Linked DNA regions of Kluyveromyces lactis. The protein of the gene in region 3 purifies or fractionates together with the protein of the main gene of each other region. This does not show direct contact. Links are inferred from orthologs where the notes say so. Each region holds a gene or a part of one and is shown on either strand. Other genes may lie near its edges. The genes, in order: PDB1, KGD1 and LPD1.

What was found.
Region 1: the proteins of LPD1 (region 3) and PDB1 purify together in Saccharomyces cerevisiae (affinity purification with mass spectrometry; 4 studies listed by BioGRID, with this or other methods). This does not show direct contact. The link is inferred for Kluyveromyces lactis from reciprocal best matches to the Saccharomyces cerevisiae genes LPD1 and PDB1.
Region 2: the proteins of LPD1 (region 3) and KGD1 purify together in Saccharomyces cerevisiae (affinity purification with mass spectrometry; 5 studies listed by BioGRID, with this or other methods). This does not show direct contact. The link is inferred for Kluyveromyces lactis from reciprocal best matches to the Saccharomyces cerevisiae genes LPD1 and KGD1.

What each region holds. Positions count from the first base shown.
Region 1 is NC_006042.1:882,218-884,788, reverse strand, and holds PDB1 (pyruvate dehydrogenase (acetyl-transferring) subunit E1 beta), read left to right. Parts: upstream 1-946; coding exon 947-2,011; downstream 2,012-2,571. UniProt on the Saccharomyces cerevisiae protein: The pyruvate dehydrogenase complex catalyzes the overall conversion of pyruvate to acetyl-CoA and CO(2).
Region 2 is NC_006042.1:430,408-434,169, forward strand, and holds the start of KGD1 (alpha-ketoglutarate dehydrogenase KGD1), read right to left. Parts: upstream 2,379-3,762; coding exon 1-2,378. UniProt on the Saccharomyces cerevisiae protein: The 2-oxoglutarate dehydrogenase complex catalyzes the overall conversion of 2-oxoglutarate to succinyl-CoA and CO(2).
Region 3 is NC_006040.1:950,727-954,165, reverse strand, and holds LPD1 (dihydrolipoyl dehydrogenase), read right to left. Parts: upstream 2,118-3,439; coding exon 636-2,117; downstream 1-635. Other genes in the region: KLLA0_D11143g (uncharacterized protein), read left to right, coding at 3,069-3,114, 3,203-3,439.

The DNA.
Region 1 (2,571 bases), on a different chromosome or scaffold from region 3:
GTCCGCATCATTCCCACGCATCACGTGCCCCCACCCTTTTCCGTCGTTTGAACACCTATACACCTCATCGCCTCCATCAATCTCATCTGCTATGTCGTATTCTCCCGTCGCCAAAACAGGTTTTTTCAGCAGATTTGTGATGGCGCACTTACTATGCGCTAGCATATCTATGAGATAAATACAACGGTATAGCAACCCGCGAATCGCTCGACCCGTACAGTCGAAACGAATAAAAAAAAGCTTATGCAGCGCATATATATTCCTTTAAAGGATTTTGATTTCACCAATATATAAAGAAATATAAGAGGGTCATTTCAGCACCAGGGAAGTTGTTAGTTCTTTAGAGTCGTTATTCCTTTATTCATTGTATTATCTTCTGTTTTGTGTTTCATTTTTTATACTTTATGGATCTGTAATTCAATACTTGTTTAATCTTACTTTATAATTTCTTAAAGGTTTTATAAATCTTACTACAGATTCTCATCCAATCCCACTCAATTAGCGGTTCCCTGAGGCTAACGTCTATTTGTTGAATAGGTCAAAGAACGAGTTTTTATTTTTTTTCAGTGAAAAAATAATATCAAATTCAAGAAATTATAAAAAAGAATTCAGTTGAAAAGGATCCTTTTTAGTTATAGAATTGACAATTGACTATCTAATTTGTCTGTCTTATAACAAACGCATCTCAACAACTTCTGTCTGTTTGTTTATTGCTTCGTTTTTGTTTTCGAATTATCAAAACATTATTTCTTCTACCTTTAAAAGAAAAAGAAAAACGAAAAGATATCAAACTCTAGTATAATATTCATTCTCCTTTGGTTCAGTAAACGTTTTACAAGCGAAGACAATTTTAAAGGTTAAGAAGAATTACACGTAGTGAAACGAAACGTTAGTACCCGATTGATAAAAACTTTCAACTGGCAAAATTATTAAATACTAATACAACATGATGATGCTTTCTAACACTTTTAAGAGGGCTGTTCCTTCTGTGGTTCAATCCATGAGATTTGCTTCTACCAAGACCATGACCGTCAGAGAAGCTTTGAATTCTGCCATGGCCGAAGAAATGGACCGTGATGATGATGTTTTCATCATTGGTGAAGAAGTTGCTCAATATAATGGTGCTTACAAGGTTACCAAGGGTTTATTGGACCGTTTCGGTGAAAGAAGAGTTGTTGACACTCCAATTACCGAAATGGGTTTCACTGGTTTGGCTGTTGGTGCCGCTTTGAAGGGTTTAAAGCCAATTGTTGAATTCATGTCTTTCAACTTCTCCATGCAAGCTATGGATCAAGTCATTAACTCCGCTGCTAAGACTTACTATATGTCCGGTGGTACTCAGAAATGTCAAATCGTTTTCAGAGGTCCAAACGGTTCTGCTGTCGGTGTTGCTGCTCAACATTCCCAAGATTATTCTGCTTGGTACGGTTCTGTTCCAGGTATGAAGGTTTTGGTTCCATACTCTGCTGAAGATGCTAGAGGTTTGTTGAAGGCTGCCATTCGTGATCCAAACCCAGTTGTTTTCTTGGAAAACGAATTGTTATACGGTCAATCTTTCGAAGTCTCTGAAGAATCTCTGTCTACTGATTTCACTTTGCCATACAAAGCAAAGGTTGAAAGAGAAGGTTCTGATATCTCTATCATCAGTTACACCAGAAATGTTCAATTCTCTTTGGAAGCTGCTGAAATTTTGTCTAAGCAATACGGTGTTTCTGCTGAAGTTATCAATTTGAGAGCCATTAGACCTTTGGATGTTGAAGCTATCATCAACACTGTCAAGAAGACCAACCACTTGATTACTGTTGAATCTACTTTCCCAGCTTTCGGTGTTGGTGCTGAAATTATCGCTCAAATTATGGAATCTGAAGCCTTCGATTATTTGGATGCTCCAATTCAAAGAGTTACTGGTGCTGAAGTCCCAACTCCTTATGCTAAGGAATTAGAAGATTTTGCTTTCCCAGACCCTGACACCATTGTCAGAGCTGCTAAAAGTGTTTTGTCTATTGAATGATTGCACCGTGCACTCTTTCTTTACTGACAGTTATGCACCTCTGTTGGCCTCCGTTTTTTATCAAAACAAAAGAGAATATTCATTGGATAAGGAATAGTGCATGATGGTTCATTCGCATTCGGTTTTTCTTATGATTGTACTCCTTTGTTGCAATAAACTAAGTTATGAATTGATTTACAAACTTCAAAGAAAAATAGAAAAATTAAAACATATTATATTATTAAGATATGAATACCAAGTTCAGTTAATACACGATTTTGGATTAGGAAATAGAATGAGATAGAGTTGCCTGTCGTTGAATTATTCGCTGGTAAAGGTAAGTTGATGAATTAGAGATTTTACAATTTTTTTTCATGTATGTTGCCCATCAGTAATGATGAAGAAAAGTTTTCATCACTAGAGATGGGAACAATAAGGTATTTGGGGACAACTGCGGTTGTTATGAGATTAAACTGTATATATATATTCTGCCGTTAAAACAAGACGCTGTGCGCTACTTTCTGTACAACTTGTCGTTATTTCCATCAAGGTATTGTCTTTTACACTTTCTAAGCTGAAAT
Region 2 (3,762 bases), on a different chromosome or scaffold from region 3:
AATCTACCTGAAGAATGCTCTGGACCTTGACCATCGTAACCGTGAGGCAAGGACAAGACTAACCCGGATCTTTGCTTCCATTTCACTTCACCAGCGGCAATGAATTGATCGATGATGACTTGAGCAGTGTTGGCGAAATCACCGAATTGAGCTTCCCAAACAACGAAATAATCTGGGTTAGTCAAAGAGTAACCATACTCGAAACCCATACAACCGTATTCAGACAACGAAGAATTACAGATGGTGAAGTTAGCTTGTTTTTCAGACAAGTGCTTTAATGGAGTGTAAGTATTCTCGGATTTTTGGTCGTGAAGAACAGCATGTCTTTGTGAAAAGGTACCTCTTTCAACATCTTCACCAGAAACTCTGACGTGATTACCTTCCAACACTAAGGAACCGAAAGCTAATGCTTCACCGGTAGACCAGTCAATACCTTCACCGGATTCAACTGCTTTACCTCTGTTGGTTAAAATTCTCTTCAAGTTCTTATGAACTTCGAAGTTCTCTGGCCATGAGGAGATGGTCTTACCAATGTTCTTCAAAGTATCAGCATCAACGACGGTTGGTTCGTGGGATAAGATTTCAGTAGCTAAAGCCTTTGGAGACTTGAAACCTTCCCAAGCAGCAGTTAACCATTCTCTTGAAGTTGGCTTATAGTCCTTTGCCTTCTCATATGCTTCCTCGAATAGACCCCAAACCCATTTCTTATGTTCATCGATATCTTGCTTGGTGAAGGAACCTTCAGATACCAACTTTTCCGTGTAAACGTCAATGACAGATTTTTGCTTAGAAATCTTTTGGTACATTAATGGTTGTGTGAAGGAAGGTTGGTCAGTTTCATTATGACCATGCTTTCTCCATCCGACGACGTCAATAATGGCATCAGTGTGGAAAGTAGCTCTCCATTCAGCAGCCAAGTTGAAAATGAATGTAAGAGCTTCAACATCGTTGGCATTTACATGGAAGATAGGAGCATCAATGGTTTTACCCAAATCAGATGGGTATAGAGTTGATCTAGCGAATCTTGGATCAGTAGTGAAACCGATTTGGTTGTTTGTGATAACGTGAATGGTACCACCAGTAGAGTATGCTGGCAAATGTAGGAAACCCATGGTTTCGTAAACGATACCTTGAGCAGCGAAAGCAGCATCACCGTGCAATAGGACGCTGATGGCCTTGTCATACTTGCCAATATCGTTCTTAGAGAACTGGATGGCTCTAGTTCTACCCAAAACAACAGGATCAGCGGCTTCCAAATGAGATGGGTTAGCAACCAAAGACAAGTTAACGTATTTACCAGAGGTAGTTGGTCTTTGGTAATTCATACCCAAATGATATTTCACATCACCGGAACCCTCGTATTCTTCTGGAGCAACAGAACCCTTAAATTCTGAGAAGATGGATTCGTTTGGTTTACGCACCACATTAGACAAAACGTTTAATCTACCACGATGAGCCATACCCAAGACAACATCTTCAACACCTAATTCAACGGAACGGTCAATCAAGGTCTTGATACCAGGAACAACACCTTCTAAACCTTCCAAACCGAATCTCTTATCGTTAGGGAATTTAGTAGATAAGAAAGTTTCAAAAGAAGTAGCCCAAGTCAGTCTATCCAAAATTTGTCTCTTTTGGTCTACGGTATAATTATAAGGTTGTGGGATTTCAATTCTTTCTCTTAACCATTCACATTGTTCTTTTGAAGGGATATGAATGTATTCGATACCGTATCCAGAACAGTACAATTTTTCCAAAGCAGCAATAATTTCTCTTAGTTTCATGGTCTTTCTACCATCACGAGAGAAACGTGGCAAGATACCGGGTCCCAATGTGATATCTCTATCTAGATCCTTTTCTGTGAATCCATAGTGTTCCAAAGTCAACTCACGAGGTAGAGGTTTACTCTTATCATCACCAAATGAAATTTGTAACGGATCAATATGAGCCTTCTGGTGACCTCTTACTTGGTAAGCACGGCACAAAAGTTGCACTTTTAAATGTGTTGTGATGTCTTGGTCAACGCCACTTAACGAACCCCCTATCAATATATCTTGAGGCACACCAGGACCCGTTGGTATTGGAATTAATGTTGGTGGGGCGGTGAAGGCAGAAGAGGCTGGAATATTCAGATTACCCATGTTCTTGAAATAAGCATCCCAAGAGACATGAACTGAAGTGGGATCCTTTTGCCAAGCTTCGTACATCTCATCGATATATGATGCATTGGTGGTGGACAGGAAGTTGTCCGTCGAAGATGCACCACTAGCCAATCCACGACTGAAAACAGCCAAGGAAGTCGGTTTGCTTACAGCACCGATCCTGGTGAATTTAGAAGCATGTAACAAACGCTGAGATGACCTTATAGTTCTCAACATTGTTCAAAAGACAGTTATTTTTTGTTCTTTTCTGTATAACGAAAGAAGCAAAACACAAACCTTAAATCAATAGATGGTCGCTTTGTTCTGTACGTGTGTTGTAAAATTGATATATCCAGTTATCAAGTAAAAAAATCCCTTGCAATTCACAAAATGTTGAACTTTTCAACGATGATTAACTTTCAATGAATCTTTCTCGTTTATATCTTCTTTTGTTTTTATTTTTTTATGGCTCTTCTTTGTGAATTTTCAATCCAAAATTACTCACAAAAAAAGGGAACAAAAGAAGAAGTACTTGATAGTAGTAGAGTCAGAAACTAAGACGACAACAGGCAAAAACTTCGATTCAAAATTGACTGTTTTTGTTAACGTTCCTAATTAATTGAAAAAAAGAGATATCCTACTTGCGAACACGAAGTTGAAATAAAGCTTCTTCAATCTTTTTTTTCTTGTCGGAAGATCTTGAAAAAATACCCCCGATTTTTTTAATTTCCCGTTCTCTTTCACTTAAATAAGCAGTGAAATTAATGTATAAATCCTGTATCTTTTATACTTTTTAGCCGATAAAAAACAGAAATACCAACAAAAAAACTAAATTAGAGTAAGCAGAACTCAAACAGTGCCAGAGAGTCGAGTATTGCGTTTACTAGACGAGTTTAATTTAACAGGCAAATAATAAACTCCGTTATTATTTTCCTTCTGTCTCCTATCTTAATTGTATTAAGGCAGGCCTCTTGAATCTTGAAAATAATAAATACCTCTTCTATAAAAATAGTAAGAACCAGTATTTATATAGGAAATAGTAGATGCACTATATATATTCACGATTTTGTGTGAAAAAAAAGCACTCATTCAACTATTAAATGGACCACCAATATCTCTCTCGTGCCATTTCCCCGGTTTTGATCCTCACTCCCATTTTCTTTCTTTCTTCGAATCGGTACTGATACCTTTAATGCCTGTAGCTCTCTAGCAGCTTTATGTGGTTTTTGCATAAGGTTTCCTTGCTACATGGTGGAACAAACAAGTGTTTTAGTGCCGCTTACTCAGTTTTCAACAATACGAGAATGCCAGATAGTAAAAGCTGTAGGGCATGGTCTGCGAGTAGGGGTCCGGTGACCCGTTTTCGGATTCGAAGACGGGAAACTACCAGATTCATTTTGTGGGACAGCCCGGAATTCCGGGTAACGTTTCAACATTTTCTTTTCAGTATTCCATATTCAGATAAGTACTATGCAACTCCGTGCCAGACTGGCTGATGGGTTTTAAAGTGTAAGCAAAGGCTGAGTGCGGTTGACGGTATGTGGTGTACGGACATTCGTCAACCCAACTCGGTCGCGAGAAATTCTTTGCTGTCACTTGACCATTGCTTGATTATCACTTG
Region 3 (3,439 bases):
TAGGGCCTATTTTTGTTCCAAGGGTACTTCACTGACCATGTTTCCATCTTTCTTGCTTCTGAATAAGATTTGAATGGTCAAAATGCGTTATAAGTTAGTATTGTGAAACGTAATGATATAAATAGAAAATCATGTTTACACGGAGTGGTGATGGTTCACTCAAAACTCTTGTTAATAAGAAATTAGGGCGTGTGGCGTAGTTGGTAGCGCGCTCCCTTAGCATGGGAGAGGTCTTCGGTTCGACTCCGGACTCGTCCAATCTTTTTATTTCCCCTGTTCATTCTGGACCAATGATCTCTTTTTTTGATATAACGATGTGGTGCCTATTACACACAAGCTGAGAATGTTCTGAGAATTCGTTTACAAACATTTCATATCATTTACGTTAAATATATTATACGTGTTTACTATTTATTTTTGATAATCTTTACTTTTCAATGTATAGTTTGAAATCAAAGAATGATTCGAGGAATATATAAGAAGAAAGATGCTTCAGATGGCGAGATAAATAAAAAAAAAAATAGACGACAACTGGATACGACGTACCATTGTTAAGTAGCTTATTATAGTTATTGATATCAAGCAGCTTCAATTATCCGCAATTTTTTTTTTCCACTTCGCTTTATCAAGAAAAATTAGAAGTTGATTGGCTTGGCGTAAGCAGCTAAGTTAGCTTCCTTGAAAGCTTCGGATAGAGTTGGATGAGCGTGACAAACTCTAGCGATGTCTTCAGCAGAAGCACCGTATTCCAATGCTAAACCGGCTTCAGCGATCATTTCACCAGCGTTAGGACCAATGATGTGAGCACCTAGTAAACGTTCAGATTCTGCGTCGATCAAAATCTTAACGAAACCTTCGGTGTCCATGTTGGTTTTAGCTCTAGAGTTAGCGATGAATGGGAACTTTCCAATCTTGTATTGAATACCAGCTTCCTTTAATTGTTCTTCGGTCTTACCGACCCAAGCGACTTCTGGGTGGGAGTACATGACAGCCGGGATGTTACCGTAGTTGACATGACCGTGGCCGACCTTGAAGTATTCGGCAGCAGCGATACCTTCTTCTTCAGCCTTGTGAGCCAACATTGGACCGAAGGTAACATCACCGATAACCTTGACGTGTGGGAATTTGGTGGATAATTGTTCATCAATGACCAATCTACCACGCTTGTCGACTTCCAAACCGATCTTTTCAGCGTTCAAACCAGCGACGTATGGTCTTCTGCCGACAGCGACCAACAAGACATCAGCTTGGAGAGATTCCTTCTTACCATTCTTGGCACCTTCGACTTCGATGTCAACGACGTCACCGTTTCTGGAGGCAGACAAGACCTTGGTGCTCAACTTAAAGTCGAGACCTTGTTTCTTCAAAATCTTTTGAGTAGTTTGAGCGACTTCACCATCCATGGTAGCACCAATTTGAGGTTGGAATTCGATCACAGTGACCTTAGAACCCAATCTGGAGTAAACTGAACCCATTTCTAAACCGATGATACCACCACCGATGATAGCCAATTTCTTTGGGATTTCTTTCAAGGAAAGAGCACCAGTAGAAGAAACGATTCTTTCCTCATCAATGGTGATACCTGGGAATGGAGTCACTTCAGAACCAGTGGCAACAATAATCCTGTCACTTTCCAAGAGGTGATCTTCAGTAACGGAACCTTCCAGACCTTCCACAGGAAGAACCTTAACGGATTTGTCAGTTTCAAAGGCACCTAAACCTTTGTAGTAAGTGACACCATTCTTCTTGAACAACATTTCAATACCACCAGTCAATTGCTTGACGACAGTGTCCTTAGCCTTTTGAAATTGAGCAACGTTAATGTTGATTTCACCGTTGATATCAATACCTCTTTGCTTAGCATCCGTCTTCATTTGATGGTATAGGTGAGAATTGTTCAACAAAGCCTTGGATGGGATACAACCAACGTTTAAACAAGTACCACCTAGTCTACCTCTTTTCTCAACACAAGCAACATCGTAACCGAGTTGAGCAGCCTTGATAGCAGCAACGTAACCACCTGGACCACCACCAATAACGACCAAGTCGTGCTTCTTAGTAACGGTTTTCAAAAGAGCAGAAGAGCTAAAGGAACGGGTAGAATTGAATCTCAACATCTTTGATTAGGGCGGATATAAATAAACAAGATAAATAAGATAATCCTCTAACCTCTTACTTATACGTTATCTGAACCCTTTCTCTGTGGTTTCACTTGATATATTTCTTGAAATATAAAATATCCTAGTGAATTCCTTTTATATTAATGTCAATTGGAATGGAAAAAAAAGATTACGATCCCAAATAAATACAACTATTAGACGGTTTGATCAATTAAATAGCAAGAAAATTGATCTACAGGACTCAAATACCAGCATGATGCGGTAGGGTTTGGTGATTCACTACGGTACGGACCATATATAAACTACAATTATATAATTGAACGGATTGTAATTCGAAAAAATACTGTAGTATTCCAGAGAAGACCACTTATTTAACTGATCTATATTTCATCGTTCCTTTGCGCAACTTTTAAGTTGAAGAACCAGTTTTTTTTTTATCAATCTATTGAGCTTTCCAAACTGCCAGAGTCATTACTATTAATTATCGAAATGGGATAACACAGTGAACAGAAGTATCTTTGTGAAAAGCTGTTTCGCTGGTGTGATCTATAAAGGCGACGGCTCATCACAAAAAAGTTGCAACTGTCTTGACGTGGGGAACAGGGAAACCTTCGGAATCGACAAAAATTGAAACTATTGAATGAAATCAGTTGAAAAATAACGAAACGAACCTAAAAAAACGGAAGCCGTACGGGGGCCGACACGAAAGGCGCAGGGCGGGCTATCAAGAACGTGATTAACACGTGATTCAAACCGGGTAACGTTTATTAATTTATGATCACGTTGTTTTTTTTTGATTACCAGTTTTTCCTTCTGCCAAATACTCACTATGAGATATGATATCCATATAAAAGAATAATGAATCATGATATATGAAGGATAAGGGAGATTGTTAGCAAGAACAAAGAATAGAGTAGCAACAGTAATAACAAAGCATTAGCCGCAGATATGAGATTTGCACCTATTTTTATTGGAACGGCGTTGGCCAGTTCGTGTATGTTTAAGGACGGATTTTCTTAACCCTTTTTTTTCCCTTTAATTCTCAACTTTACTAACATCATCATCGTCATCGTCAAATACAGTATCTTCACTTATGGTTATATATCCTGACAGCTTCCAATACTACAATGATTTAGTGAATGTGGCACATGAACTTGATGGGACTATAACGCATGAATATACATTATTCAATGGGTTTAGTTTGGATTTGCCAGAAGAGTTTGTCGCTAAATTCAAGGAAATGAACCAACATTTTAATTGGGGGCTTGAAATAGAAGAAGACCAGGAGGTTCATGCGTTAGGTGGGCTGAAAGAACATG